Rattus norvegicus: one gene and its partners. The protein of the gene in region 5 interacts with the protein of the main gene of each other region in a pairwise test. Links are inferred from orthologs where the notes say so. Each region holds a gene or a part of one and is shown on either strand. Other genes may lie near its edges.

Region 1 (4,491 bases), on a different chromosome or scaffold from region 5:
GCCTTGATGGTGGCCACATCTTCAGTACGGCTTGTATGAGCCTCCCAGTCTGGGACCCACCTCTCTTAATCTTGGTTCATGCCGGGTTTTAAGCTCCTGCTAGGATTTCAGGTGTGTACCACACCACAGGTGTGTAACACCTACTAGGTGTTCGGCTCTTTTTCTACACATCAAACCTTCCTGAAACACCAGTTGGTAAAACTCATGTTTCCATCAAGAGCTGAGTCAAGGTCGCCCCACAGATGTGGTAAGCAAAGACCCGTACTGTAGATGGAGTCATCTATCCCAAGGCTGAGGCAGGAGCAGCTGACAGAGTTCAAGGTTAACCTGAATAACTCTAATAGACCTGATCAGAAACCAAAGCACATCAAGGCTGGGGCCACAGCGCGGTGGTAGAGCATTGCCTAGCACACACAGGGCTGGGAGTAGACATCAAACTGGTTAAAGTCGCCCCTTTGCCTTGAATTGCATTGGTTTTTGTTCTTGAATGTGGATTTGCATTAACAATTACTGTCTTGCTTCAACCGTGAACTTCTTGAAGGCAGGGGCTTCTGCACTTAGCTTGGCAGCGGAGTCAAGGAAGGGCTGCTGGATTAAGTGGTGGGACAGTTTGTACTCTACACTCACAGATACGCTGCCCTGCGATGTCCTTTTCATGCGAATGGGATGTGCCCAAGCTTTGATATGACTCACTATTTAATAAGCATACCAGAATTTATACATCCAAACGAGGGCTGCAATCCTTCAAAGTCTTCCCTTTGTAAGACGGGATTCTCAGTCCCATGATGCTGGCATTTCCGCAGACTCTTTAGATCCCCTCTCTTAGGTACAACCCTGGCATTTATAACACTTACTTTTCAACGTCTCCCAGGCTATCCTTCCCTCATTTATTACCTCCATCTCCATCTTGAGTTGTTCGTGCTGGGTAAACGCTAAGATAGATCTGGAGAGTTGCCGCCTTCCAGAGTTTGTTTCACCAGATCAGACTGGGAGAGCCACGGCAATAAAAATTTAATGATAGTGCTTCAGAGATTGTTTGATTTGGGGGGAATAGCAAAGGCTTTTCTTTGATTTTAAGTTTCCCAAAGTGAAGAGGTGAGTGCCGGAGCGAGGTAGTAACTAATTGCTTTAAGCCAAATGGTTCTAAGACTCCTAGCCCGAGCCCACGTGTTTCTTCTAAATTGATCTGACGTACTTCTTTGAAACTCAGACTTCTAACTTCATGGCCAAGCTGTCCCGGACCCTGGGTCATCAGCAGCTAAGTTCCAGCTCTCTGTGAACCACTGCTGGGACCCACTCTTTATTATTGTCCCAGCATCCGGTGGACCTATTCACAGGATAAAGATTCATGGAGTTACAACAGAGTCCATGACGGGTCTCCCCTTTCTTCCCTGCTTTCTGAGAAGTGACAGTTCTGCAGATCCCAAGGGACAAGGAAAGAACTGAAAGGCTGATGTTGGAGAGGGCTGGAGAGGGAAAGCGGTGGCGGATCTGGGAGCAGAGCCGGGAGTTCCTGCTTCCTGCTCCCGGAGCGAGTGTCCTCCGTAGCAGCCTCGGGGAAGGGAACAGCCCTTCCTGCTCCGGTCCGCGTACTCCAGGAGCACAGCGAGGCGCGCCCCACCCCGGCGGAGGGGACGGTTTTTAGCAGGAGGTGGTGGAGGGATTCAATGCCACTCGGGGATGTGGGAAGCTGGAGGTGAGCGGGAAATCCGTAGATCACAGTCAAGGCGTGTGGGCACGAGTGGCCAGAGGCGCCGAGGGGTCCGCGGGGTTCTCGGGTGTCTCCGTCGTGCCCCGTCCCGTGGTCGCCCGCGGTCCCCCGGGCTCCGCCCAGCCGCGGAGCCCAGCCTCTCTCAGGCCGGGTCTCCTCCCTAAGGTGCGGGTGGCAGCGCCACTCCCTCCGCTCCCTCCCCAGCCGCGCGCGTCTCATTCCAGCGCCCATTCCGCGCATTCCTACCGGGCTCCTCTGCAAACTCCGGCCCCGGGGGTGGGGACCGCCTCAGCTACACGCTCGGGCCCCGAAGCCGTCGCCGCGGCTGGAAGACTTGGCCCCCCGCGTGGACTTGGTGCAGCCGGCCGAGCGCTCCCACCCCGCCTCCTGAACCCTGGGACCGGTAAGGCTGCTGAGTTCGGGCGACATCCGCGTCCTGCATGGTCTCGGGCAGCACTAGGGGACCAGTGGGGCACGTGGGGGCGGCGGAGTCCAGAGACTGGACAGAGCAAGGTCGCCTGGCAGAAGTTTTAGAAGTTGGAGACTGATGAGCCTCAGTCAGGCCCTTTTCTACTTTTCAGCCTGGAGAAGGGAGCACAGAAGGGAGGTGTGTTGCTTGGACCTTCTGCAGAGGTCCTCAGGGTTTGAGACGCCGTGGGCCCTATGGGTGAGAAGTGATGGACCATTGCTCCCAAACTCCAAGGCACTCTACTCTAGCAGGCAGCCCAGGGGCGCGCCGCGGTGCACACACGTGTCAGGGGGCTCCAGGCACACCCACATCCATCCCACTCAGTGAGTTCAAGCGAGGTATTACTTACCTGCGCCAGCATCCTTAAGTTTTGGGTGTACCTGAGGAAGAGATATCTGCGCGCTGTGACTCACCTTGCTTTCAGGAGGTGTATTTGTTTGTGCTAAACAATGCGACAGTGAGTGCATTGCTACTTGAAGAGGGTGCTGTCTGAAACCCTAAGTGTCCGGGTGGGTGTGTGATGCCTCCTCTCCAACACCCCTCGTCGCTCTGAGGATGTTGGTTCTGGCTCTGACTTCTTGCAGAACCGGAGCAGGGGACAATGTCTCCAAGTTCTTTGTGTTCAGGGAGAATTTGACAGTAGTAGTTGGAAGTGTCCCCTCCCGGCCCTCCCGCCCCCCACTCCTCACCCCAGCTCTGCTGGGTTGAGCTTTGCTGGCAGGAAGCTGCCTACACCTGCCCCCCTTCCAGGCAGCTGTCTTTCTGAGGGAGTGTGGATCCTGTTCTGGCGGAATCCTTTAGGGAACTGCTGGTAGGCTAAGCAAAGCTGAGATCTTTGCCCCCAGGGGCTAGGATGGGTTGTTGGTAACGTTTATGGGGGTGGACCCTCTAAAAGGAAAGGAGCTTGTTAGGTTGTTTTCTTTTGAGACAGAAGTCTCTTGTAGTCTAGGCTGGCCTGGTCCTACTACCCCAGCAGGAGGTGGCTTTCATTCTCCTGCCTCAAAAAAAAAAAAAAAAAAAATTACAGACTGGAGTCCGTAGGCTTAGCTGACCACATGGGTTGTTGGATAGTGTTTGTTGGGCGGTTGATAGAGTTTCAAAGTTGCCTTCAAGGACAGGGGTGTTAGTGTTCTCTCTGTAGGAACCTTGAAGCAATGAGGAGAAGAAAATCTCTCATTCCTGAATAGCCAGGGTCTTGCTCTGAAACCCAAGCTGGGTTCAAACTGGATATCCTCTGCCTCAGCTTCCCCCTCATTCTTCACAGTTAGCTAGATGACCTTGTTTCTGTGGGGAAACTTGATAGCTCACTGTAGGAAAGCTTTAGTGACAGGAAGGTGAGGGCTGCCTCCGACTTGGTAGCTGAGTCCAGGATCTTGACAGGACGGTGGTGTGAGAGTCACAGACTTGGCATCAGGGTTCTCCCTCATTAACACAACACAAAAGTGATGGCTGTGGTTTCTCGGAAGGAAGGAACAGAGAACCATGTCAGGAGTGAGGGGGAGGGGCTCTTGTGTTTATCTTTCCTTCTCTCCTGCTGATGTAGATAGTCAGCTGGGACATACCTCATATTCCATACTGCTCAGGCCGTGTCCACAAGGGCAGCTCTCATGGGGTAGGGAACACACAGGTGTGGGGTCAGACAGACCTGGACATGAATCTTGATACTCACTACCTTTAAGGCTCTTGGGCTCCGTTTCCTGATGAGTAACATTGCGGGGTGGGAATGAGGGGTGAGTAACTAAAGCCAGTGCAGAAAGCTTGCTCTGAAAATTCAGTGTCTCTAAAGCGTCTGTTAGCACATCCCAGGGCCCTTGGAAATGGTGTATCCTATGTTTTCCTAAGCTTGCTTTGGCAACCCCCTCCCCCTTCCCCTTCATTCCAGGGCCCTTGGAAATGGTGTATCCTATGTTTTCCTAAGCTTGCTTTGGCAACCCCCTCCCTCTTCCCCTTTTCATGTTGAGGATTGGACCTGGAGTCTTGTAACATGTGAGACTAGAGGATTTTGTGTGATTATTCTCTGGGCACCCTTTGGGCAACCTCACCACGTATCATATTTATTTTGCCAACATGAATTGGGCATTTTCTGTGGGTCCCGTGCCATGGGGAGGCTTCCACCAGATAACATAATTCTCTAGCTCCCATATTCTCATTTCTACTTTTGCCTGCTCTCAGGACATTTGCTGAGCACTGTAGGATCCTCAGTCAAAGTCCAGGCCCAGGGTGGGGAAACTGAGACCCAGGGAAGGACCATAAGGTGTTTAGAATTGCACAAGCTCTGAGTGGCAGAGATGGGACTGGAAGCTCTTCACTT
Region 2 (4,601 bases), on a different chromosome or scaffold from region 5:
AGCACATTGGTATCTTTGTACACTTGGCATGTTTCCCTTTCCTGATGACGAGCCTCCTTTCCTTTCCTTCCTTCACTACTAAACTTCTGTGTGGCACGTATTGTCAGTGGCTGAATACGTAACACTGAGTAAAGAAAGCATAGTCTTTGTGCTCAGATAATGTGTCTTGATTCTTTGATCTTAAGGTGGTTTGCTAATTTGCGGGTACAGTGTCAGACTCTGAAATATCCATGTCCTCTTTTTGAATTTAGGGGAATCAAAACCTAACCTTATCCTATTTAGGATAAATATTAAAATTATTCTGTGGTCTAGAGAGTACCATATGAATATATTTCTCTGGTTGTAGCTATTTCTTCTGTTTGAGTTAGCCAGTGTCAGGGACTCATAGGGACATGTATTAAATACTCCCTTGAGAGGACGTACTTAGTTTAGGAATAAAGTCGGCTTTAGGATTCTCAGCTAAGCTAGAAACACGCTCATATTTTTAAATTAGACGTTGATAAATTACATTTACCATTTACTTTTCTTGAACTAAACATTATCTTTGCACTTTCTAAAATTTCTGGAAGAAATGCTCTTTTGGAACTAAAGGTAATAATCACTTCATAGTAATTTTGAGTTTTCAAAGAAGACAAGTCCGTAAGAACCGACTGAGACAACAGTCCTCAACAAAGAACTCCATTAACCCCTGGAACCAGTCTGGGCATCTGGCTGAATGTGGCAGGCAAGGGTTTGACTACTTCCTTTGTTCTGCTCACAGAGAACCCCATAGACACTCTTTTCCAAGGACCCATTCTGATCTCTTTCTCTTTTTAGGATGAGCTGTCCTATTGGAATTTATACTTCTCTAAAGGGAATAATTTTAAATCAAGGTGGACGCATTAAAAATTCTTTCTCTGATGTCCCTTATTCCCCTATCCCCTCTCTTTCAGTCAGTCATGATGTAGCCCTGGCTGGCCTTGAACTTACAGAGATCTGCTTGCACCTGCTTCCCAAGGGCTAGGGTTAAGGTGATGCACGACAATATCTGGCTCTAGAGTCCCTAACTTCAACAACTGCTTACAACATCTAGGATGATTAAAGGATGGGACTAAGGGGAGATGGAGACATTTACACCAAAGGGTAGAAGTATCAGAGGCCTGTGTAGTGTTTGACTTAAATAGTTGTAGTAACTGCCATTTTCAAATGTTCAGCCAACCAAGTGCTACATTTGGGTCCTTTAAATCTCTGTCTATTTCCTTGTTCACATCCTTTTGGGGAGGGGGTTATGAGCCTCAGAAGTGACATCACTGCTAAAGGAAATTCTAATACTATGGCCTTTGCAACCGTCAATATTCTTTGTAACTGCATCTCATTAACAAGGCATTTAAGGTTCTTCTATGATTATGGATGAAAAGGGGTGTAAGTTATTAAAGACATTCCTTAAGAAGACTTTTAAATTCATCTTACTTGAATTCTTCGGGGTGGATGCCTTTTGATAATACTCGTTTCTTCATGTTTCAGTGGGATGTCTAGATACACGGCCCTGGATACTTGAAAGATTGGGGGGAGGGGCAATAATAATAGACCATTAATTTATTGTCAAGTTAGGCATCCAGGGTGACTATCTACACAGTTTGCATCTTTCAATTACACACGCCTAACTCACTGGTTGGATGCAGAGAGGAGACACACAGAGCAGGGCTCCTGCACGAATGCAGGTGACAACATTTTAGTCTGATTTATTCTTTCTGTATCACCCCGGGCTGGCAAAAAAATGCAAAGTTAACTATGTACTGGTCACAGGTATTACTCAAACACAGAATTTAGCCTGGAAAATAGAAACTTACCGATTAGTCTTAAGACATCTCCCTCTGTACTGGAAATGAAATCCAGGGTCTCACATGTACTAGGCGAAGTGCTCTATCTCTGAGCTGTAACTCCAGCTCACAAGTTCAATAGCATGAAATCCTCCCCCATTCCCCAAATGAAGGGAAGAAGAGTCCATTTGTGTTATTGATACGGAGTGTGAAGAAGATAAAAGATGACACAAATGTATGGAATATGTAACCAGATAACACATGTAAACATGGATTTCTCATCCCAAGTCAGCATATCTGTTTTAATTATCTTTATGGTCACCAGGAGACATTTTTACACATCATAATCAATATCCAAGAACAACTTGCAGCCACTTTAGGCCCAGAGCTTCCCCATCAGTGTGGGAAAAAGTTTCTTAGTTCTGTGATGACCATGAAGAACATGGGGTTAAGGAAGGGTGACTCACCCACTGTCTCTCGTGTAATAAATCAATTCTGTTTGGGTTGGTTTCACAATTCGCATTGGAGAGGGCTACTCCTACACTCCTCCTACTCTCAAAACTATAAAGCCTCATGCATTAAGTCCCCATGGAGACAACAGCTTAAATTTAGACTCCCAACTGAAGCACTACTGTCACCATTTAGCACATGTGGCCTTGTAATTTCTGTGGCCTTTGCGATTGTCAACATTCTCTGTGACTGCACAAGGAAGTGGGCATAGGCATTGAAATCACCACAGACTCAGGTGAAACCAGACGGTGTTCCCTTATACAGAAGGGTGAAAAGCACTTTATCCAGAATTGATACAAGCATTAAATTTAACAGAAGACATTCATCTGACAAGCAATCAGTCCTCAGTGAAAAATATTCTCCTACATTTCAATAATCTAGATTTCCAGAGATCATGGAGACAGTCATGTAAATGTACCACAGCCCTCCCAAGTCCCAGACATGCAGCTCTCATGTTTGGTTTTGCCATACCTGCAGGGAGTCTTCCATACCAGGTTTCTCTAAGAGGTGGTAGCTGTTCCAGAGTTCGATTTTGCTCCTGCAGTCTCGTGAATGAGTATGAACTTTTTTCTTCCAGGTTCCGATTCAATGCAAAGAACACGGGGCAAGTTGAGGGTGTCTTCGCTTCTTGGCTTTGTAAAGGTGTGACTTTGATCACCTGAGGGTGAGTCTTGGAGTGGCCCAGGCCCATGTTCCTTGAAATATTGAGAAGAAAACCATGATGGAGAGGGCTTGAGAGCCTTTACAGAGCTTGATTTAAGTATTTTCAGGAGTTTACCTTGGCTTACCAAAGCAGGTGTTTCCTTCATGACATCCTCCCTGTTCTGTACCCCTGACACTAACTTCTCTGGCCACTTCCTGGGAGGTTGGTTTCCATGGAGACTTCCCTTCAACTTCTACTTTGCCATTCCAGAACTAAAGAATGCAGTTAAACATTGACTTGGTTATTCTACTCTCTGAAAAACTCAGTTACATGGAGAGAAGCTTTCATTGATCATTAAACAAGTATCCAACCCCAGGCCATTACCAGACACACAGAACAGGGTTTTAGAGAAGTCTTAGAGGCCCCCTTTCATAGTAAACATGTTAGGAAGTACTAACAACCTGGATAAGCTAAGTTGTTAGAAATGAGAGGACAGATGCTAATGAGTTAGGGCTTTGCTAATCTATAATTTTAATTAGAGAATATGTCTTCCAGTTAGGAAAAGAAGCAGGGGCAGATAATGCTTCATCTGATTTTTCTGTCAATGATTTAAGCTACCTTTGAAGGAAATGAGTACATTACAGGAGAATGAAAAAAACAGTAAGGAAATTTTCCTAATCTCCCTGCTGGGAATGAAGGAACAAATTTCTTAAATAACTGATCCAAATAAAAACCATTTTCAAATAGATCCTATTTATTATGTCCTTTTTTTTCAAGTAGAAAAGAAAATGGAGGGAAATGTGCCAATGTCTTGAACAGTGGGCTTTGAGTAATGGCGTTATGGGTAATTTTTATTTCAGTCCTTTACTCAGAATGGAACTCATGTCCATGTTTGAATTGTTCATGACCACAGATCACAGGTGCTTTTGGCATACCTCCATAGAGGACTTAAAAATATTTTCCATGTTGTGAAATCTATTTGCTAAAGAGCTATCATGGTGATTAGGAAATGAGAAATGAGACTCAGAAAGGATTAATTTCTTTGAAAGCTACATCCAGTGCAAGTGTTTATTGTTTTCTTTGCTATTGTTTTGTTTTCTTGTGTGTGTGTGTGTGTATGTGTGTGTGGTTGTGTGTGTACATGTTCAGGCCAGAGGTCAACCTTGAGTGTTACTCATCTAGACATCATCCACCTTGTTCTTTTTTTAAAGACAGAGTTTCTCTCCCATTGACTTATTGGGTTGGGTTGGCTGGCCAGCAAGCCCTAGGGATCTGCCTGTTTCTCCCTCTCCAGCATTGGTATTATAAATGTACACTACTGTGCTTGGCTTTATATATGGGCTATGAGAATAAACTCAAGACCTCATGGTTTCCCAGCAAACCCTGGACTGACTGAGCCATCTGCACAGTCCTATTTTGTCTTCTATGACAGTGTCTTGCTGTGTAGCTCAGACTGTCTTTCAGGTCATTGTGTAGCCCATGGTGGTCTCAAATCGATGATCCCATTTCTTTCCAAGTGCTGGGACTATAGGCATTGCCATCATACCTTGCCAGGGTAACAATTATTAAGAGGAATGGCACAGAGAAAAGAGGGTGATGAGGACTTGGGGAAGATGAGAAGAATCAGGAAGCAAGAGCCAAATATACCA
Region 3 (4,664 bases), on a different chromosome or scaffold from region 5:
TGCCTCCAATTTTACACTTAACCTTTGCTGTCTTACAGGTTTTTGCTTTGGTTCCCTGAGATAGGTCTTTCTTATTTTATAGCTCAGGTTGGCTTGGAACTCATATCAGACTAATCTTGAACTCAGAGTTCTCTGAGTGCTGGAATTCTAGGCATACACACCTCCAAGCTCCTGACAGCTTCCTCTGAACTCTGCTAACCCAGCCTTTGTTTCCGATACTCCTCACACTGGGATCTGAATAGCTGGTATGTCTACTTCTGCCATGGACAGTGACCTCTCCGGGAAGAGAATGTATCTAAATGCCAGTGTTCTGTGCATTCCCCAGCTCTACGTCAGGCATTCAATAAAAACAGTGAACTAATCTATAGCCAGAGTGGTCAACTGTTCTGAGCAGGAAAAGGTTGTTCATATGATGTATTCCAGCCCCATGCACAAGCCACTGACCTTGTTTTTCCGCCCATCAATCTCAAAAAAGGAGATGGTGCCCTTGCGGTAAATTTCATTGCCTGGAGGGTGTCGAAGATCACATTTGGTCTAAGGACAAAAGGAGGATCAGGTGGGGACTGGTGAGGGTACACTGGGTAGGCAGCCTCCCAAGACCCTTCATACCAAGTGGCGCTGCAGACACTTGAGGCTACGGCCATATTTGAGGCAAAATTCGCACAGGTAGAGGACAGGTAGCGTGGTAAGCTCTTGAGGGTACGGGGAGAAGTACCACGGCTTGAGGCGGTGCCGGCCAAGCTCAATACACTCAATGTTCTTCATCCGGGTGACAATGTCGTCGTGGCTCCGGTCAGACACCAAACTGCCAGTCATGCGTGGTGCTGACGGTATTCCATCTGAGCTGTCCTGAGAATCCTGCCCAGGGCAAATGGAAAATACCAGATAACAGCAGGTAAGCAGAACATGGCTCACAACACTGCCGTAGGTTTCTTCCTTCAAGTCTACCATCAACTAAGGGGCAAGCATCATAATCTCCACTTTCCAAAATAAACCAAGAACCAGAAATTGGTATGGTAAAAAAACAAAACAAAACAAAACAAACAAACAAACAAACAAAATAGCCCAATGCTTCATCTGCTTGGCTCCCAACCAACACCCTCACTGCCCAACCAACACCCTCACTGCCTAACTAACACCTTGTTTGCTTTAAATTGGTCACTGAATGAACTCTCCATGCCCAAGTCCACTCCCTGTTTCCCAGCTTCCCTCTTCCTCTGCTCCTTGATACCCACCTCATCAGTGCCCAGGCAATTAGATTTCCGCTTCCGTCCTGGCTGTGCTGCCACTGCCCTACGGGCTGATCCATTCTGTGGATGACAGAAGAAAAAGGGTGACCATGAGATGATCCTGGAGGAGGATGCTAGACAGAAGAGGGGGGAAGACCAGACGGGCTGTTGGGGTGGCTTAGTGGTTAAGAATCCCGCTCTTCCAGAGGTCATGGGTTCCTTTCCCAGCACCCACATGGGGCTCACACAACTCTAGTTCAGTGCATCCAATGCCCTCTTCTGGCCATTGCACCCGGCATGCAAGTAGAACATATGACTATCACAGACAAAACCTTCATACATGTAAAAAGACTGGAAGACTCACCTGGGGGAAAACTGAAGCTGGGGCTGTCTCGCTGGGCACTGGAGTTGCTGGTGAAACCACCTCCACCTTCCGTTTCTGCAGAGAGAAACCAGGAAAGGTGGGTCAGAAGGTAGAGAAGGTGGGACCTGAGAAGAAAGCAAGGTCCCTGGAATTGCTGAGGGTACCGTTGAGCGGTGGTTGGGTTGCAGGCAGGAGCTGGAGGAGAGCGGCTGGTCAGGCTCGCCACCTGGAATGGCCTCCCGCTCCTTGGGCAGGTTGAAGCGGAGTGTGATCTGGACCGGGATTGGCAAGGTCTTCCCGCTGGCCTGGGCGGAGGCCGGCTGTAGAGATAGGTCCAGGGTCTTCCTCTGGGGTGGGGATGGTGGTGGGATGGCGAAGGGGAGGATGGGCCCCTCAGCATGGAGTGATCAAATCCCACCCTCTGCCTTCTCTAAAGCAAGGCAATACTGGACTCTGGAAGCTACACCTGCAATTTGGTCCCCATCCTTTGCAAGCTGAAGCCATGGCAAAAGAATGCTGCCTCCTGCCCATTCAGGAACCCCTGAGGCCAAGAGATGCAAGAAGGAAGAGGCAGGAGAGAAAAGATGAAATGGGGGACCTACTCACCACCTCTCTTTCGGGAGAGCCGGGGCGGGACCCAGGAAGTCCGTTCTTGGTAGGTGTCTTGGCTTCTTTCTTGGGAAATTGGATCTTCTTTAAGTCCAGCCGCTCGTGAGTCACCCATTCATCCAGACGTTTGTTGACTGCAGCAGTGAAAATGGCTCAGGAGGGATGCCAGAGGCTGCCCTCAACCCTATCCAGCAACCCACTTTTTCCAGGCCCAGAACTCACAATCAATGTAATGGACATAGAAAAGCTTCCGGCCACTGATGTCCTTCACGCTCAGGATCTCAGCCAGGGCTAAGGGAACAACACAGACAGGGGGTCTTAATCAAGGCAGATCATGAGACTCCACCCTTCGACCTGAATTCCACCTCTAGGCTGGATGTCTACGTCCCAGCACTTAGAAGGGCTAGTTCAAGACCCCTTTAGTCACCAAGTGACACCTCTCTCCAAGCCCCGCCCGGATCATCTCCGTACGTCCAAAAGTCACGCCCCTCCTTCCGAGTATCTGCGACCGCCCCAGGATTGCAGAAGCCCCTCCCCCTCCCGTGTGATCGTTGACTCCCTCCCGCCCCTCGCCCTCAGGTTCCTTGGACCCGCCCCCCGACGTCACTCACGCCACTCATCTTCGTTGTCCTGGTTGCGCCGCAGCACGGGCAGGCGGCAGCCCTCGATTATCTCCCCCTGGGGAGACAGCGCGGCGCCAGGGTCGGCTACTGGGGGGCCTCGGGCTCTACCCACCTCCCCTGGCTCCCTCCGCCCCGCCCCGGGCACCGGACTCACCACCTCCGCCATCTTCCCTCCCTCCACTGCCACTTCCGGCCCCTCTGGGAAACGTCACTTCCGGAGCTGAGTGCGCTATAGGCCCGAGCCCCTCGAAACTGCTTGAGAGGAAAACACTTGAGAGTCACTGCCAGCTGGTTGGTAGTAAAAAGCGGGCCCGGTTGAGGAATGGAACAACAGGGCGTTGTAAGCCTGAGGCCAAGTACTAGATGGAATCCCTACTATTCGCACAGCGATTGGAGGAACGCCGAGTCTGTCACGTGACGCCCACCGGGTGCGACGCCGGTCACTCAGATCAAGTGTTTATGCTTTGTCTGGCCGCAGTGTTCCGGCGAGCCTCATAGTGGCAGTGTGAGGTGTCACCCTGAGTAGGAGGCTAAGGAGTTGGGTTTTGGACCCCGGGGAATCAGTAGAACCGAAGGAATTTAAAATTCTAGCCAGGTGTCTGCATATTATTGCACAGGCTTGGGGACTTAGCAAGATTTTTTAGTTCTTTGGTCTTTTTTTTTTTTTTTTTTTTGGTTCTTTTTTTCGGAGCTGGGGACCGAACCCAGGGCCTTGCGCTTCCTAGGCAAGCGCTCTACCACTGAGCTAAATCCCCAACCCCTGATTTTTTAGTTCTTAATATTGGATTTTTATTTTTAAAATAGTATATATGTGGCTCTATAAATGGAAAGGTTCAAAATTCCAGTAGTCATTCAGTCAACGAGAGTGGATGTCTCAGTTGATCTTCATTGTACATCAGAATCCCAAAGAAGATAATGACAGTGAAGGAGTGGAGTTGCCAATGAGAGTGAGAACAGGTAGGCAAAGAGTAAAAGCAGCTTGGCGGTAGTGGCAGAGACAGCCGAATCTCTTGAGTTGAGGCCAGCCTAGTCTACAGAGTCAGTTCCAGGACAGGCAGGGCTACACAGAGAGACCCTGCTCTGGGGGGTGGCAGGGAGAAAAAGCTTCATGTCTTTACATTAGTTTCCACCAGAAGGTGTATCTTCTGACTTTGAGTAACAAGAATAAAGGTGTGTTCTCCCACCTCAAAGATCTGGATTACAAGTGGGTCTTCCACCAAGCAGTCTTCCAGCATGGGGGAGGCAGAGGCAGGCAGATCTCTTGAGTTCGAGGCTAGCCTGGTCTACAGAGCAAATTCCAAGACAGCCCGGGCTACACTGAGAAATCCTGTCTCCAAAACAAAATAACAACAAAAACCAGTGGGTCTTCCTGCTTCAGACTTGGCAAAAATTGTTCACATGTGTGTTTTTCCATTTTTGGGTTTTAGTTAAATCCAGATGTAGTCAAATGGACAACCAAGAATAACTATCACAGATATTTTTTAAAAGATTTATTTATTTTATGTATGTGAGTACACTGTAGCTGTCTTCAGACATACCAGAAGAGGGCATCAGATCCCGTTACAGATGGTTGTGAGCCACCATGTGGTTGCTGGGAATTGAACTCAGGACCTCTGGAAGAGCAGTGAGTGCTCTTAACCACTGAGCTATCTCTCCAGCCCCACTATCACAGATAGTAATAAAGTGCCTAGGGCGGGGGAGACCCTTTGACCTTTGTTCTAAATGTTACCAGTTTAAATGGTTCTGGGTCCATTCGGCCACTCTGAGAAGAGTTTATATGCAGAAGTAAAGGAGGGGTCTCGGTTGCATCACAGGAGCATTAATAACAGCACTGGGATT
Region 4 (4,615 bases), on a different chromosome or scaffold from region 5:
TGCAACTTTAACGGAAGATATTTGTATGTCCATCAAACCTCTCCTAGGTCTGACCTGAAATACTTGAGATATGTAGAAGGCACTTGTTTTGTTTCTCTACATAAAGAGAGCAGAGCCCTGGTGTGGAAATAAGAACTACAGAAGGCGCCTTAGGAGCTCTACTAAAAGTCAGCTCTTCTTTACTTCTGTAAATTTAGATTTAGTCACTCTCATTATTTTTCCCCCTGCTTGGCTAATAGCATGGGCTTTAGAGTCAGACAGACCTTTCTTCTGACACTCAAGTGATTTGACCTTGATCAAACTGGTTTATCAGTCTTAAGTTGATAGGGGCACAAGGTCTGGTTAATGGCTGAAAGCCCCGCCCCCACTCACCCACCTTCACGGGAGCTGCTCCTCCCACTGGGATAGCTGGGCAGATCTGGCCCAATAGTACTACACAAAGATGTGAAAGCAAAATAAGAAAAAAACAGGCCATAATATAATTTGGGTAATGTCAGAGGTGGTTGCTTAGCGGGCCACCCACTTTCTCCTGGGGACTACCTCAATCCTGGAAGACTCACCGTCACCCCGTATTTGAGTGCTAATCCAGCCAGGGTGTCTCCAGGCTCCAATTGATGCTCCAGGCGTCTTTCCCTCACTGGGGAGCAGGATGATTGTACCAGGCTTCCATAAGAACGAGCACGGCTCCCACGTAGCAGCCCTGACCCTCCGAGGGGAGGCTGTCTAGAGGGCGAAGCCATCTCCTCACTTCCAAGATCTAGGGTCACAACTGAGGAAAGCCCAGCTAAGTGACCAACAGTGACGGCTGAACCCAGAGAATGGATATTCAGAAAATTCTTTTTCTCTTTTCTCTTCAGTCTCCCGACTCTCGAGAGACTACATTCGTCCTCCTCCTCTCGATGCTTCTTACGGAGCTCGGAATTACAGTTCGTATCTTAAGAAGTCTTCCAGGCCGGTTACATTTCTTCTTCCTCAAGCCCCTTACCCATAAATATCTTCCCTGAGTTGTCAGTCGCTGACCCCGTGGACTTTCGACGCCCCCTCCCCAACTCCTCGCAAGCCTGATCTCTGACCTTTGAACCCTAGACACCCTCATTAACACTCTTCCCTCAGTGTGTCCCTACATCCAACAGTCAGGACGCCGGGAGCCCCCACATCCTCTCTGTTCCAAATAAAACCCACCCCAGGTAGGTTGTGGCTGAGGAGGACGAGCCTGAGGACTACAAGTTTGCAATATAGAGTCCACTGAGATCCCCCGAAGCCTCCCTCCACCTCAGGAGGGTCCCACCCTGAAATTCCGGCTCCACGTACAGGATCTTGGGTCTCCAAACACCTGGATCCTTCGAGATGCGAGGACCTGTGTCCAGGTGAGCGGTGTTCTCTCCAAAAAAATTAAAAAATAAAATAGATAACCAAAAGACTTCATTTCCCAAAAGGCACAGCGTCCAGGCAGTATCATAGGAAATACAGATCCCCTCAGGGCGCTGGAGGCGGGTCTTCCGGCTTGCGCGATGCATGCGTGGAAAAGCATCCCCGGAAGTACAGACTCAGAAAGAAACCGGAAGCAGAGAAGGCGATAGTGTACTCTTCCTACGGTGGCCTAAAGGAGCAGCGAAGTAGGCGTAGAATTTATCATATTCTCATAGTCGCGATGTCTTTTAAGAGGGAAGGGGACGACTGGAGTCAGCTCAATGTGCTCAAAGTAAGCCCTAGTGAGAGTCACCTGATCACCTTCAGCCGCCCTGTTGCTTTGGTTTGTTGCTTTGGCGACATCTAGGGGAGGGTGTTAGGGGACCAGAACTGAGAGGTGACCCCATTTTCTACCCTATGATCTGCATGGCCCCGTGCCATTTGACTCCTCTGTATTATTTAATATCCATCCGTTCCTCTCATTCATTTCTTCTATCCTGCTTCCTGCAGAAACGAAGAGTTGGAGACTTGCTAGCTAGTTACATCCCCGAGGATGAGGCGCTGATGCTGCGGGATGGACGGTGAGAGCGAAGAGTGGATCAAGCCTGGGGATTCGGGGATCAGAGGCTCAACAAACTTTTGTTACTAAGGAGTTCAGGAGTATAATAGTATTCTTTGGCTGGAAGTGAAGGGGTGGAGATTGGGAAACCTGGGAGTTGGAGGAGTGCTATGACAGAAGTAGGATCTACTCACCATAGCAAGTACACCGCGACTGCAGGCTGGAACACAAAACACACGCGCACACGCACACACACTTATAATTCACTTTTCTTGTTTCCCTAGCTTTGCTTGTGCCATCTGCCCCCATCGACCAGTACTGGACACCCTGGCCATGCTGACAGCTCACCGTGCAGGCAAGAAGCATCTATCCAGTAAGTTAAGAGAAGTAGGGAGGGCGGGAGATAGAGAATGAACTCTTGACATTTTGGCAAAATCTTTTCATTCTCCCTTGCTTTTCTTCTTCCTAGGTCTGAAGCTTTTCTATGGAAAAAAGCAGTCAGGCAAGGGAACAGAGCAAAATCCACGACCGCAGAACGAACTGAAGACAGAAAGCAAAACTGAGGTGAGGGCATCAGTGTTGTTTAGACGGGGCTATACTGCACGCAACAGGCATGAGGGGCCATTTGCTTCTGACAGCTTTGACTCACTCTCTTCTCTCATTGTCAGGCTCCTTTGCTAACCCAGACTCGAATAATCACCCAGAATGCTCTACACAGAGCTCCCCACTATAACAGCTGCTGCCGGAGGAAGCACAGGTCAGTGGAATGAGAAAGCCAGGAGTGGAAAAGGGTAGAAGCAAATAGATGACTTTAAAGTTATTACTCTGCAAACTGTCTTCTGAGAAATACTAATCTTGTGGAAATTTTTTTTTAATGACAGTTAATGATTTTAAAATAAAACTTTAGGAAATGGAATATTGTAGCATAATCCTACTTAAAAATAGTAACATTAAGGGTTGGTGAGAGAACTCAGTGTTTAGGAACATAAGGGGCTCTTCAGAGGTCCTGAGTTCAATTCTCAGCAACCACACAGTGGCTCACAACCATCCATAAAGGGATCCGATGCCCTCTTCTGGTGTGAGGATGTACATACAGACAAAGCACTCATATTTAAAAATGCATAAATAAATACATTTTTATAAAAAGAGGGGGCTGGAGAGATGGCTTAGTGGTTAAGAACACTGACTGCTCTTCCAGAGGTCCTGAGTTCAAATTCCAGCAACCACATGGTGGCTCACAACCATCTGTAATGAGATCTCATGTCCCCTTCTGGTGTGTCTAAAGACAGCTACAGTAGACTTATATATAATAAATAAATAAATCTTTAAAAAAAAAAAAAACTAGTAACATTAGCAGGGAATGGTGGATGGTAGTACACTTTTTTGTTCCTTTGTTACTGAGACAGGGTCTCTCTTTGTTGCCCTGGCTATCCTGGAACCCTGCTATTTAGACCAGGCTGGCCTAAATTCAGAGATCTGCCTGTCTCTGCTCCTCAAATGTTGGGATTGAAGGTGAGCAGTTCCATGCCTAGCTTTGGAAAGTCTTAATACAAAAACTTAGAACTGTATTTGTCAGGTTCTCTAAAGTCACAGAATGTATAGAATGTCTCTCTATAGTGAGGGAATTTATTGTGGTGACTTACAGTCTACATTCCAACTATCCCAAAAAAGGGTAGCTGTGGATGGGAAGTCCAAGACCCTAGGAGTTGCTCAGTCCCATGAGGCTAGTTGTTTCAGCTGGTCTGCTGTGGACGTAGATTCCAACAGATGTGCTGGCAAGTCAGTGCAAGCAGGTGAAGAAGAGTGAGTCTTCCTACTTCCAACGTCCTTATGTAGACCTCCGACAGAAGGTGTGGCTCAGATGACGGTGTGGACCACCACTCCTGGATCTGGGACTTGCTTTGTTCCAGGCTGACCTTGAACTCAGAGGTCTCCTGGCCCGTCTCCTGGGATTAAATGCCTGTACTACCTTGCCTGGGCCTAAGCTTTTCATGGCCACTGTGGCTCAAGATCTCCATGCCAATATCCAGATCAGATACTTGTGTCTTCCAACCTCAAGATCTGGATCACAGATGTGCCCTCCAATTCTGGATTGTAGTTCATTCCGGACATTCTCAACTTGACAACCAGGAATAGTCATTACAAACTATTAAGCTAGTTTTTCCTTAAATTCCTTTTTTCCCTTTTATTTTTTATTTTATGTGCATTGGTGTTTTTACTGTATGTATGTCTGTGAGAGGATGTCAAAGGTGAAGTTTAAGATACTTGTGTGTTGCCATGTGGGTGCTGGGAATTGAACCCAGGTCCTCTGGAAGAACAATAGCCAGTGCTCTTAACCATTGAGCCATCTCTCTGGCCCCAGCTTTTCTCAAGTTCCTAATTTCAAGGTCTTACATATGTAGAATATTTAAGATCTTAAGGAACTGGAGCCAGCCAGTGGTGATACACTTGGGTGGTAATCCCAGCACTTGGAAGGCAGAGGCAGGTGGATCTCTGAGTTTGAGGCCAGCTTGGCCTACATAGTGAGTTCCAGATCAGCCAGGGCATCACAGAAAAACACTGTCTCAAATATCAAGCAAATAAACAAAAGTCGTAAGGAAATCATTTCAAGCACTGCTCTTCTGGCCTGAGGAGCATGGGGAAGCT
Region 5 (3,035 bases):
CATGAAAGTGACCTGTAATACTCACTGTAAAAGAAACATATGTTCTCTGCCTCTGCCTCTCTGTCTCTGTCTCTCTCTGTCTCTGTCTCTCTGTTTCTGTCTCTCTCTGTCTCCATCTCTCTGTCTCTGTCTCTCTATCTCTCTCTGTCTCTCTCTGTCTCTGTATCTCTCTGTCTCTGTCTCTCTGTTTCTGTCTCTCTCTGTCTCTGTCTCTCTCTCTGTCTCTCTCTATCTGTCTGTCTGTCTGTCTGTCTCTCTCTCTCTCTCTCTCTCACACACACAGAGAGAGAGAGAGAGAGAGAGAGAGAGAGAGAGAGAGAGTCTAAACTATGTACCACAGTGCTTTTTACTACCAACAGAGCACACTCTGGCATTTTCTGTTCTGTCTTTCTGAAAAGAGCAGTGCTGGTCCCTCATCCATCTCCCCTGATTTTCCCGCCCACAAAAGCTTTGCACAGAGCGGTTAGCAAAGTCCTGTTCCTGGAAACCCTCCAAAGTGCAGAAGCCAAGGCCACTGATCCAGTGGGAGTTTCTTCACTGGTGTCTCTTTCCTAGGTGGAAAAGAACATCATCCTGGAAGAAAAGATCCAGGTACTCCAGCAGCAGAACGAAGACCTCAAAGCGAGGATCGACCAGAACACGGTTGTTACCAGGTGGGTGAGCCCAGTTTCTCACTACGTCCTTCTCAAAGTGGCTTTCCCGGAACATCCGCATGTCCCAGTATCCAGTCTGAACAATCTCCTGGTGCCTCTCAGTTGATCAGAAGAAAAGCAGATGGCCGTGACCCCATGGTACACATCCCAGCTCTGCATCCCAGCCGGCCCCGTTCCCCAGAAGTGAGTGAGGACCTCAAGCCCAGGAAGCAGGGGCCCCAGAGCAGGAAGATTTCATCCCAGAGATTAGGAGAAGAGCATCAGCTAAAGTCCCCAGCTAAAGAGAACCATGGCTAGGTAACCCCAATATTCCAGAAAATCGGGTCAGCTCTTCCCTATAGGCTCCTGCTTTCAAGGAAGGATTGGGTCACTCTTGACCCCAGCTCAGAGTGCAGTGAAAACGTCTGTGGCGTCTGTGGCTGGCTGCAGGTTATTATACTGGGCAAGGCTAAGTCGCCCGAGTGAGATGGAGGCCTTCGCCTTTTCCCATTCTGTTGGACCAGACTCCTCGGTGTGGCTATGATATGTTATCCTGTGTACACCCATGCTTATGTGCACACACTCATGTATATATCCATTCACGCGTGCTCACACTTACACATACACTGATGCACGTGCATGCTTATACACTGGCATGCCACTTGTTCACACGCCCACACATACCCAGCCACCTTTCCTCAGACAGCAAGTGCAGGCGTCAGCCCAGAGTACCTTTCTGGGACTTTAGCCCATCCAGTTGTAAAATGTATTTGTACTTACTCTGGCCGATTCCTGAAAGCAGCGATCACTCTCTAAAACACAAGTTGAAATAGACAGGTGACTCCGTGGTTAAGAGCACTGGCTGCTCTTCCAGAAGACCCAAGTTTGATTCCCCGCACCTACCTGACAGCACACAGCTATCTGTTAGAGTTAACAGTTCCAGGAGACCCGCGCCCTCTTCTGGCCTCCACAGGCATTGCATGCAATGGTTCTCGGGCATGCACGCAGCCAAAACACACACATAAAGTACAAAAATTACCAAAAACACGCAGCAAAGCCAGCAATTTAAGCACCATGACATCACACACACACACACACACACACACACACACACACACACACACACACACGATTGCTTTCTCTCCCCCACCCCCGACCCCCGTTATCAACCGACGGTGATCAAACATCTATTTTTCTGGATGCCATGCTGAACGCCAGCCAAGAACATAACAGAGTCTTGACCCCTGCCCTCTAGGACTTGTGGTCCAGCAGACAGACATGTAGACAGACCGACTCTACAGCCGAGCTAATGACTTCAATCGCAGAGGCACGTACTCAGGGCTGGAGGTAACGGGAAAATATTCCCGGCTGATTGGCGCTGTTAGTCAGTACCCTGACCACAGCCGTAGACAATCTCCATAGCAACCCCTCCTATGGGCTGTAGCAGCAGCCCACGTGACCTACCATCTCCCCCACTTCCTACTCCAGCCTCTAGCCTTTCTTTGCTCTGTGCACAACTGCCCCCTAACCCAGCAGAGAGACCTGCGAGCCTGGGGAATTGCCCCCGGCCTCCGCCTATCAGCCTCTGTCACTAGTACGCCCAATGGTTCCCGCTGCTAACTACCATTCTCCCCCACGCAGACAACTGTCGGAGGAAAATGCTAATCTCCAGGAATACGTGGAGAAAGAGACCCAGGAAAAGAAGAGACTGAGCCGAACCAACGAGGAACTACTTTGGAAGCTCCAGACTGGGGACCCGACCAGCCCGATTAAACTCTCCCCCACATCTCCGGTGTACAGGGGCTCCTCCTCTGGACCCTCCTCTCCAGCCAGAGTCAGTACCACACCTAGATGACATCACCCTGCCACCCACAGGAGCTCAAGCTTCTGTCCGTCCGAGGGAGTGCTGGCCGGTGCTGGTGGCTGCCCTGTGCGCATGCTCAGTAGCTGCATACTGCATCTTAGGCAGAGTCCTCTCTGACCCTCGTGTGAGACCGTCCTGGTATTGGCGCTTAGGAAGGCGTAAGCAGCAGAGTCTGGTGTCCAAAAGCAAAACACAAAAACAAAAACAAAATGCTTTAGTATAGTTAGAAGCAAAAGAGAAACAGCTCCAATTGTTCCTGAGAGACGGAGTTCCGCAGCGGAACTTTAGGTCAGCCACAAACAGCTCCGTTTTTCGAATACTCGAAAACCCTCCTTGCACCGCTGCGGGTGTGTATTCAGATGCGTGGGTACACACCTGCGGCGACTCCGAATTGCTTTTTTTTATATATATATACATATATAACACACGATGCGCTGACATATTTTAGCGACGGTCAGCAGTTTTCTAACTTGTGCCTAAGAATTATTGGGAAATGAAAAACGCATTTCTATCTAGTTTCCTGGAGATATTTCTACCCA
Region 6 (4,449 bases), on a different chromosome or scaffold from region 5:
AGAAATCCTAAAAGTAGATGTGCTAATTTGGGTGCTTTAAAAAAACTATTTTATGTATATGAGTGTTTTACCTATGTAGAAGCACAACATGTATGCACAAGTGTCGCTGAAACCAGAAGAAGCCAGATCCCCTAGAGTTACAGATGGTTGTAAATGGCACTCTGCAGTCGGTTCCCCAACTATTTTAAAATCAGCATTTAATTACCCATTCATTCAAAATCCATTGTTCATTCAGCAATACAAATTATTTACCTAATATGTGTTAGGCACTGTGCTGGTGCTGGGCAAACAAAACAGCCCTATCTATCAATTTAAAGTTCAATCCCAGAATCCACACAGTGCAAGGAGATAATCACCAACATTGTCTTCAGACTTTCACATAAGTGTATGCAGGGACACAAACACACAAAAAACATATGTAAAAACAAAAAATGTACATATATACACATACATAAAGATATTTAGAATGTGATACTAATTACTGTGAACAGAGACATTTAAGTGATGTGTTACTCCTCCTTTGAAGTTCAGATCCTTAAAGACCTGACTCTATTCTTCAACAGAACTGGCAGTCTGTAGATGTTAGGTAGATCAGTGAGCACAGAACTGTCTTGATTTCGTTTGGGGATAAATCAAAAGATGCTCTTTAAAAATCCGTAAGAAAACTCGCACCTTCCCCCTAGTGGCCTAATCTATCATATATGGCATTTGGTTGTGGACAGCGAAAATCAAATATCAGAACAGAAACCTGGTCCTACAATGGCAACTAATGATCACAAAATGAGTAATACGACCACGAGACACCAAGGAGCCTTTAAGGATGGGCTCGCCAAGTACTCAAGATATTCAGGGGCCAGGACCACAAACGAACGAACACACACACACACACACACACACACACACACACACACACACACACACACGAGAGGGTTTGGGGAGTGGGAAGAGGGACAGGGGGAGAGGGAGAGAGAGAGAGAGAGAGAGAGAGAGAGAGAGAGAGAGAGAGAGAGAGAGAGAGAGAATGAATGGTTCTGTGGCTTTTTCTGCAACCTCTTTCAGTCGTGCTGCTTCCCAAACCTCTGGGCACTGTGATGAAATCTATGCGGGTCCGCCACACCATCCCTAGCTGGGGGCGATGTTCAGTGGAGTGGACCGAGAGTTGGCGGGAATCTGCAATCCACTGGGGGGGGAGGGGGGAAACACGGAAACACAGCGCTTGACATGGAACCACGCCCCCAACCCTCTCTGCGCACAGGCATTCCCGGGTTTCCCACCAATCCCATTTTATCTGCTTTCGCAGGCCCCGCCCACCCAGAGCTGGAGGGCGGGGAAGCGTTAAACGCTGATCCGTGGCTCTGGGATAGACTGCACTTCCTGCGTCGGCGCCGTGAAGACTCCGCAGCCTTCTTTGACGATCACCGAACCGTAGTTGAGGCCGTGTTCCTGTGTCCGCTGCTGTGTCTGGTTGTAACCTCGCCGGAGCTATGGTGTGTTGAGCCCCGAGTCCTCGGAGGGTTTGGGGCTGAGGTCAGCTGACCTGGTCGGGGATCGGCCTCTGTTCCCTGAGGCGCGGGGCGGTGGGAGAGGGAGCTTACCTCACGGACATGCTCCTGCAGTGATTCAGCATCTGCGGCCTGGCCGGCGGGAAGCGATCAGTAACCTAGGCGGCCTATCGCGCAGCTTCTCCACTTTGCATGGGGTCCAGGCGCTTCTTTCTCGGCCAGCCAGTCGTCCTTCCCTCCCAATTTACTTAAGTGGCCTATTCCAAGATGCTGTATGGTCCTTCGTGATCTGCATAGGAGAGAGACTATAGGGGTGAAAGGGTGCATCTGGCATCGTCAGTGCAGACCAGAGCCTGCAGTCAGGTCTTCAGACCAAGTTCATCTTCCTTGTGGGTGTATTTGGCTTTATCCGTCTCATTAGAGTGCCGTAGGGAAAGGCTCCATACAATCATTTTGTTTTGTTACCTAGAGATGAAAGAGAAAGTGATAGAATCAGGTTTACAACGTAGGGCCCTGGGCTGCTTCTGTCGAGTCTGCCATGCAAACTCTTGGTCTTTTTACCCTCATGAATATTATACTCCCAAGGGCCGACAAACTTGCTTTAGTAATGACATTATAGCTATAGTGGTTCTGCCACGGTAGCTATTTGTGGCCACCTTTTTACTGAGAATTCGTGTGTTTGTTCATCCAGTGGTAAAGTACAGGAAGAAAGCTCAAAGCTAAGCCAAACGTAACTTTAATCATACTATAAAGATAAAAAGGTATGTAAAAGACCGGGTGTTGTGGTGCTTGAGTTTAATCCCAGCACTCAGGAGGCAGAGACAGGTAGAATTCGTGAGTTTGAGGCTAGCCTAACTCACAGTGAGTTCCAGGACAGCCAGAGTGTAGAATCCGAGTCGGAAAGAGAGAGAAGGGGGAAAAATATATATAGTTGAGCATGATGGCAGACACCTGTGATCTGAGCACTTGGGAGGCTGAAGCAGGACTTCAGGATCATTCTCCCAGGTATATAGCAAATGAAGGCCAAACTGGGCTGCATGAGACTTTAGCTCTGCTGGAAAATTGTGCTGAGAATTTTCGGAAAAAAGAAGAAACCTTCAAGAGATAGACATTTAAGTCGACTTAAAGAAAAGCCCTTTGCCAAATTATTAGAGCCCTGTGTAAGAGAGTAGTATGAGCAAAGTGTGCATTCTTTAGCACTTGACTGCCCGAGGGAAGTGCTATGGAGAATGGCAGAATATGAAGGTAGGAAGACCCTAGTCCATTCATCCCGACAGCCTGTACATGATTAAGGTAGAATTGCATTGCAAACTGAGCACTCTAATAGTGTCTCAGGAAAGCTGCACTAGCAGAGAGGCTTCAACAATTGAAACACATGTCTTATTGTTAAAATTTGAAAATTGTAATGTTCTCATATTAATCTTTCTTCCACTTTCAGTTTCGCAACCAGTATGACAACGATGTCACTGTTTGGAGCCCTCAGGTAAAATGTTTTATGACCTATTAATGAAGTGACTTTTCATGGCTGGAGTAGGGTCAGAAACCTGTGAGATCATAAACTGGGCTTGGAGGTTCACATTGTAATCTTTTAATTGGTCAGGAGGCCAGAGCCATAGGATCATGGAGTTGGTGGGCAGTTTGAGCAACTTAGTGGAACCCTATTTTAAAAAAGGAAACAAAGCTTGTGAGCTTATGGGCTACAAGCTTAAAGTTAGAATTAAAATTAGTTTATTGGTTTCAAAAAGTGAAAAATATTATTTTGTCTTTAGGGCAGGATTCATCAAATCGAATATGCAATGGAAGCTGTAAAGCAAGGCTCAGCGACAGTCGGCCTGAAGTCGAAGACACATGCAGTGCTGGTCGCGCTGAAGGTGAGTGACATGATGACCCTATCTTCCTCCCTCAGGAGCCAGAGCTATCAAATGTAAATTTCACTGATAAATAATCAACCTCCAAACTAAAATGCTGTGTCTATTTAGAGAGCACAGTCAGAGCTTGCCGCTCACCAGAAGAAAATTCTCCACGTTGACAACCATATTGGTATCTCAATTGCGGGTCTAACTGCTGATGCCAGACTGTTATGGTATGTATGATTATGAAAAATTAAGCATCGCTTTTCGTTTTTAATAGACTATTTTATTAAAAAATACCTAGATAAGATATAGGAAGTCATCTCCCAGAATATTATACTTTTTAATTGTTTATTTGTGTGGGTGTTTTATCTTCATGTATGTATGTCTGCACTAGTGTGTGTCTGGTTTCTTCAGACCTTAGACTCCCCTGGTATTGGGGTAACAGAAGATTATGAGCTTCCATGTGGATACTGGAATTGAACCTGGGACCTCAGGAACCTCTGAGACAGTTAAGCTATCTCTCTAGCCCCCAGAATATTAAAATTTGTAATATTGTAAATACCTTAGTGGGCTTGGGTGTGTAACTAAGTATTTCTATTTCCTTTTTTTTTTTTTTTTTCGGAGCTGGGGACAGAACCCAGGACCCAGGGCCTTGCGCTTCCTAGGCAAGCGCTCTACCACTGAGCTAAATCCCCAACCCCATATTTCCTTTTTTTTTTTTTAAGATTTTATTTATTTTATGCATATGAATACAGCTTCACTGTCCTCAAACATACCAGAAGAGGGCATCGGTTCATTACAGGTGGTTGTGAGCCACCATGTGGTTGCTGGTTGAACTCAGGACCTCTGGAAGAGCAGTCAGTGCTCCTAACCACTGAGCCATCTCTCCAGCCCCCATATTTCCTAATTGTTACAGTGCTATTAAACCTAATGGTTTTGAAAGTCCCTAGATGTGATACTTGTTGACATGTATATTGTTTCAAGCCTTTTATGCCTAAGAGCTGGATACTCTTCTGTTGTAGAATGACCTAAACCATTCTAGTTTTCTTCACAATGTAATATTTATTATACATTTGTGTTTGCAAAGTTTAGTA
Region 7 (3,890 bases), on a different chromosome or scaffold from region 5:
ACTTAGCACATTAAGCCCTTGGATGCAAAGGTTTGAAGGTAGTCCCGGCGGGCATGGGGAATCCCTGCCCGCGTGAGTGCCCTATCCCTCCTCAGGGGCCTTCAGACTCCTGAGAGAGAACTTCTCCCATGCGCCAAGCCCGGACATGAGCGCCGCCTCTCTCTCCATGCTGGAGCAGCTCATGGTTGCTCAGGCCCAGGAATGCATCTTCAGGGGCCTCTTGCTGAGGGCCTCGGCCACACCTGACATCTGTCCAGATCAACTGCAGCTGGCTCAGGAAGCTACCCAGGTGAGCTCAAGGAGCCCCAGCAAACTGGCCAAGCAGTGGCCACTCAAAGAGTGAAGAGCAGAGCTCAGGGGGACAGAAGGGGGCTGGGTTGGAGCCAGGTCAGGGAAGGCTGGGAAGCCGCCAATGAGGCATCTTCATGGTGTTTCACGTCAATCCCTAAAGCCAGTTGCTGTCCCAGTTTTTGTGAGGTTCTGAGAATGGGAATCGAGCCCCCAGACGCCCAGGTCTGGGCCAGCTCGGAGTCTAGGGAGAGGCTGCTGGAACGGGAAGCGGAATAGATGGAGATCGAGCCTAGGGTGCAGAGGCAGGAAACTTAAGCTGTCTTCCCCGGGTTGACTGGCCCTATCTCTTGAGCTCCGTGGGCCGGGGGGAAGGCAGAGGCTCCATTTGTACCTGCATGCCTGTTGGTAGGTGGCGACCGAGTATGGGCTTGTGCACCGGGCCATGGCCCAGCCCCCCGTCCGAGACTACCTGCCTGCCTCCTGGACTAACCTGGCACGTGTCAAGGCTGAGCACTTCTGCGCCCTGGCCCACTATCACGCAGCCATGGCCCTCTGCGAAAGCACCTGTGAGTGTGGCACTCCACATGCCCGTGTGTACCCACAGAGGTTCCCTGCTCAGGCTCATGGCCTTTCTGAACCCCAGCAGCAGCCAAGGGTGAACTCTCAAGGCAGGAGGACATCTTCCAGCCCTCAGCTACCTGTGAGCCCCAAGGTCCCACACTGCCGCAGCACCCAGAAGAGCGCAGGAAGCTTGGTGAGGCATCACAGACAGGGCCCTGGGCTAAACATAGCACAGGCCCCATCGTCCTCGGCAACCCTCATCCCTGAGTTGGCGGGAACTGATAAGAGCAGGGTTGTTGAACGGGGCAGGCGGGGACATAACTGGGGAAATAGCTCTTTCTTCCCTTGCTCGACTGTTTGGCCTGGCAGAACTTTCCTAGTTTGGCCAACACTGTCTGACCCTGTGGCCCATTCCACTTTCTGATGCATCCTGAGACAGAGGGTCTGGAACTCAGCCTGGAAGGGCCAACTTGCATGCATGGTGTGCGTGCGCATGTGTGTATGACAGTGCCCTGCCTGTGCCCAGCCAAGGCCCACCTGAAGCGTGCCATCCTGGGCCAGGAGGAGGCGCTGCGGCTTCACACTTTGTGCAGAGTCCCGCGCAAGGTGGACCTGCTACAGGTTGTGGTGACTCAGGCACTGAGGCGCTCCCTGACCAAGTACTCAGAGCTCGAGCGTGAGGATGACTTCTTCGAGGCTATGGAGGCCCCCGACATCCAGCGTGAGCATCGGGGGCCCTTTGGGATGGGTATACCAGTCCGAGGGCCAAGCTGAGCCCCTGCAAGCTACAGCTGAGAGGCAGCCAGCCAGCCAGGTGTGGTAACACGTGTCTGTGATCCCAGCCAAGCACCAGATACCCTGAGTCAGGAGGAAAGAGTTGAAGGTCAGGCAGGCTGTGTTGAGGAACGGAGCCTGAGAGGCTATCTGGCCAGCATCCCGTGCCACCTCCTTTCCTGCTTGACTCTTGCAAGGCAAAAGGGGACAGAGGCGCAGTGCCAGCTGGGGTTTCCAGGAGTATTCCTGGGAGCCTCTACATATATTCAGGGAAATAGTACAGCCCCAGCTGACAGTAGGGACAGCTAGGCTTTGAGGTCCTAGGACAGTCCCATGTGAAGTTGTGGGCCACACACTCCTCTGAGCTGAGCCAAATCTCACTGGTGGTTCTGGTTCTGGGAGGGCCAAGGGCCTAGGGCTCGACTCCAATTCCCCTTTCCCTCCTGTCTGGTCAGCCAAGACTCACCAGGCCCCAGAGGTGAGCATACCTAGCCTGTCGCAGGTGAAGGTGACTGACTTCTTCCACAGGCTGGTGAGCAGGCCAGTTCCCCACCTGTCCCTCTTCCCCTTCAGGCCCCTCCCCGGTTCCCGCTCCAGGGTGTGTGGGCTAAGATGGGGTGCCAGACAGATCAGGGCTCTGTGACTGCCACTCAGCCGGCCCTCTACCACTTGTCCCCTCCCAGGGACCCCTATCCGTGTTCTCAACCAAGAATCGATGGCAGTTGGTCGGGCCGGTGCACATGACTCGAGGAGAGGGAGGTTTCGGGTTCACGCTGCGGGGAGACTCGCCAGTCCTCATCGCTGCCGTTGTCCCTGGGGGTCAGGCTGAGGTAAAGGCCCTCTAGCCCCTGATGCTGGGATCTTAGAGGACCATAATGTACTGCCACCGCCTCACTGGTCCACATTCTCCATAGTCTGCTGGCCTGAAGGAGGGTGACTACATCGTGTCTGTGAATGGGCAGCCTTGCAAGTGGTGGAAACACGTAGAAGTGGTCACGCAGCTGAGGAGCATGGGCGAGGAAGGCGTGAGCCTGCAGGTCGTGTCCTTGCTGCCCGGCCCCGAACCACGTGGCACGGTGAGCGCTTGGCCTGGGAAAAAATCCCCAACCCTCAGTCCTATCCAGCCCTGGCCGCGCCCCAACTCTGCCCCGTGGTACCCAGAGAGACAGTGGCCAAGCAACCTTCACTAGGGTTGACTTTCTGGGTACCTCTGACAGGGCCTTCATAGTGTGGCTTCTGTCCTGCTCCAAATGAAGCCCCCAGACCACCTCAGTGGGATTTTGACCCCAGGGTAGAGGTTATCCCAAAGGTCACATCTGTCCAGCATGGCCACTCCAGGGTTGGGTAGCAAGCAGCAAGCAAGGAGCCTCACATGGCCACCCCAAATGCCCCTAACATATCCCTAACACACCTATGGCTCCTAGAGGCCTCTAATCTCTTCTCAGGGTGGCCACAGGTAGGTCAGGCAGTGATGGCTGACTACATCCACTGCTGTTATGACCGTAGGGACCCCGACGGCCAGCACTGCTGTGGAACCAGAGAGAATGTGGTTTTGAGACTCCGACGCCTGCACACACCCGACCCTGGCCCATCCTCGGCTGGAGCCGCAAGAATAAACAAAGCAAGAGTGGGAGCCACCCTGACCCCTGCACCAACAGGAACTGTATCACCTGCCCCTGAGCTGGACACCCCGTACCCCTGTGTGTCCAGGGTGGCCGTGGGGGCCATACTCCTGTGTACACCATCCTGTAGCCAGCCCCAGCTAGCCAGGTGTGCCTAGCGCATTGCCCTCTACTCTGGGGGACCATCAGGCTGCCCCTGCCTGGCTTAGAGATGTCTATTAAAAATGCTGGTCAGATGAGGCAAGTCTGAGTCAGCTACCAGAGCCGTGGCCACTTTACCCCACCCGAGATCTTCTCAGTGTAATCCAGACGCAGTGCTTACACTATCCTCCTGCAGCAGGCCTCTAGGCCCCTGCCATGCCCCATCTACTCTTCGGCTGCCTGACTATCCTCACATCCAGTTTCTCTGGGCACGTACCCTTATGGTCCTATCCTGACTGCGCCTGGTTCATAGTAGCCCTTCTGGTCACCACCCTCCCTTGCTGGTTAGTCAGTTTCTCTGTATGTAAGATCCCAGCAAAGACATTTTCTCTCCAGTCCCCTTATACTCCCCCCAACTTTCAAGCCCCCCTGTCTCCCATTCCACCTGCACCCATGCAGGTCCTGGCAGGTTCCTCAGTAAGGTAGGCCCTGGACTCCAGA

What was found.
Region 1: the proteins of Mtus2 (region 5) and Tead4 interact in binary tests that used the Homo sapiens proteins (3 or more experiments, as listed by UniProt). The link is inferred for Rattus norvegicus from reciprocal best matches to the Homo sapiens genes MTUS2 and TEAD4.
Region 2: the proteins of Mtus2 (region 5) and Ccdc198 interact in binary tests that used the Homo sapiens proteins (3 or more experiments, as listed by UniProt). The two-hybrid records come from large-scale screens. The link is inferred for Rattus norvegicus from reciprocal best matches to the Homo sapiens genes MTUS2 and CCDC198.
Region 3: the proteins of Mtus2 (region 5) and Kat5 interact in binary tests that used the Homo sapiens proteins (3 or more experiments, as listed by UniProt). The two-hybrid records come from large-scale screens. The link is inferred for Rattus norvegicus from reciprocal best matches to the Homo sapiens genes MTUS2 and KAT5.
Region 4: the proteins of Mtus2 (region 5) and Scnm1 interact in binary tests that used the Homo sapiens proteins (3 or more experiments, as listed by UniProt). The two-hybrid records come from large-scale screens. The link is inferred for Rattus norvegicus from reciprocal best matches to the Homo sapiens genes MTUS2 and SCNM1.
Region 6: the proteins of Mtus2 (region 5) and Psma1 interact in binary tests that used the Homo sapiens proteins (3 or more experiments, as listed by UniProt). The two-hybrid records come from large-scale screens. The link is inferred for Rattus norvegicus from reciprocal best matches to the Homo sapiens genes MTUS2 and PSMA1.
Region 7: the proteins of Mtus2 (region 5) and Rhpn1 interact in binary tests that used the Homo sapiens proteins (3 or more experiments, as listed by UniProt). The two-hybrid records come from large-scale screens. The link is inferred for Rattus norvegicus from reciprocal best matches to the Homo sapiens genes MTUS2 and RHPN1.

What each region holds. Positions count from the first base shown.
Region 1 is NC_086022.1:163,255,457-163,259,947, reverse strand, and holds the start of Tead4 (TEA domain transcription factor 4), read left to right. Parts: upstream 1-1,605; 5' UTR 1,606-2,114; intron 2,115-4,491. UniProt on the Homo sapiens protein: Transcription factor which plays a key role in the Hippo signaling pathway, a pathway involved in organ size control and tumor suppression by restricting proliferation and promoting apoptosis.
Region 2 is NC_086033.1:25,003,394-25,007,994, forward strand, and holds the start of Ccdc198 (coiled-coil domain containing 198), read right to left. Parts: upstream 3,150-4,601; 5' UTR 3,098-3,149; exon of another isoform or gene 3,088-3,097; intron 3,005-3,087; 5' UTR 3,001-3,004; coding exon 2,781-3,000; intron 1,533-2,780; coding exon 1,450-1,532; intron 1-1,449. UniProt on the Homo sapiens protein: May be involved in tuning the metabolism, energy expenditure, and excretion processes.
Region 3 is NC_086019.1:212,329,398-212,334,061, forward strand, and holds the start of Kat5 (histone acetyltransferase KAT5), read right to left. Parts: upstream 2,997-4,664; 5' UTR 2,992-2,996; coding exon 2,980-2,991; coding exon of another isoform or gene 2,881-2,979; coding exon 2,814-2,880; intron 2,743-2,813; exon of another isoform or gene 2,630-2,742; intron 2,494-2,629; coding exon 2,425-2,493; intron 2,337-2,424; coding exon 2,200-2,336; intron 1,941-2,199; coding exon of another isoform or gene 1,914-1,940; coding exon 1,758-1,913; intron 1,669-1,757; coding exon 1,594-1,668; intron 1,311-1,593; coding exon 1,236-1,310; intron 859-1,235; coding exon 610-858; intron 535-609; coding exon 445-534; intron 1-444. UniProt on the Homo sapiens protein: Catalytic subunit of the NuA4 histone acetyltransferase complex, a multiprotein complex involved in transcriptional activation of select genes principally by acetylation of nucleosomal histones H2A and H4.
Region 4 is NC_086020.1:185,390,748-185,395,362, reverse strand, and holds the start of Scnm1 (sodium channel modifier 1), read left to right. Parts: upstream 1-1,540; 5' UTR 1,541-1,651; coding exon 1,652-1,702; intron 1,703-1,754; exon of another isoform or gene 1,755-1,807; intron 1,808-1,920; coding exon 1,921-1,991; intron 1,992-2,253; coding exon 2,254-2,342; intron 2,343-2,438; coding exon 2,439-2,533; intron 2,534-2,637; coding exon 2,638-2,726; intron 2,727-4,615. Other genes in the region: Lysmd1 (lysM and putative peptidoglycan-binding domain-containing protein 1), read right to left, coding at 561-740. UniProt on the Homo sapiens protein: As a component of the minor spliceosome, involved in the splicing of U12-type introns in pre-mRNAs. Plays a role in the regulation of primary cilia length and Hedgehog signaling.
Region 5 is NC_086030.1:11,744,723-11,747,757, reverse strand, and holds part of Mtus2 (microtubule-associated tumor suppressor candidate 2), read left to right. Parts: intron 1-555; coding exon 556-653; intron 654-2,273; coding exon 2,274-2,487; 3' UTR 2,488-3,035. UniProt on the Homo sapiens protein: Binds microtubules. Together with MAPRE1 may target the microtubule depolymerase KIF2C to the plus-end of microtubules. May regulate the dynamics of microtubules at their growing distal tip.
Region 6 is NC_086019.1:177,884,805-177,889,253, reverse strand, and holds the start of Psma1 (proteasome subunit alpha type-1), read left to right. Parts: upstream 1-1,396; 5' UTR 1,397-1,484; coding exon 1,485-1,487; exon of another isoform or gene 1,488-1,967; intron 1,968-2,940; coding exon 2,941-2,985; intron 2,986-3,271; coding exon 3,272-3,373; intron 3,374-3,481; coding exon 3,482-3,585; intron 3,586-4,449. UniProt on the Homo sapiens protein: Component of the 20S core proteasome complex involved in the proteolytic degradation of most intracellular proteins. This complex plays numerous essential roles within the cell by associating with different regulatory particles.
Region 7 is NC_086025.1:109,278,882-109,282,771, forward strand, and holds part of Rhpn1 (rhophilin-1), read left to right. Parts: intron 1-95; coding exon 96-289; intron 290-700; coding exon 701-857; intron 858-934; coding exon of another isoform or gene 935-937; coding exon 938-1,045; intron 1,046-1,378; coding exon 1,379-1,573; intron 1,574-2,081; coding exon 2,082-2,158; intron 2,159-2,309; coding exon 2,310-2,456; intron 2,457-2,540; coding exon 2,541-2,702; intron 2,703-3,071; coding exon of another isoform or gene 3,072-3,086; exon of another isoform or gene 3,087-3,132; coding exon 3,133-3,306; 3' UTR 3,307-3,890. UniProt on the Homo sapiens protein: Has no enzymatic activity. May serve as a target for Rho, and interact with some cytoskeletal component upon Rho binding or relay a Rho signal to other molecules.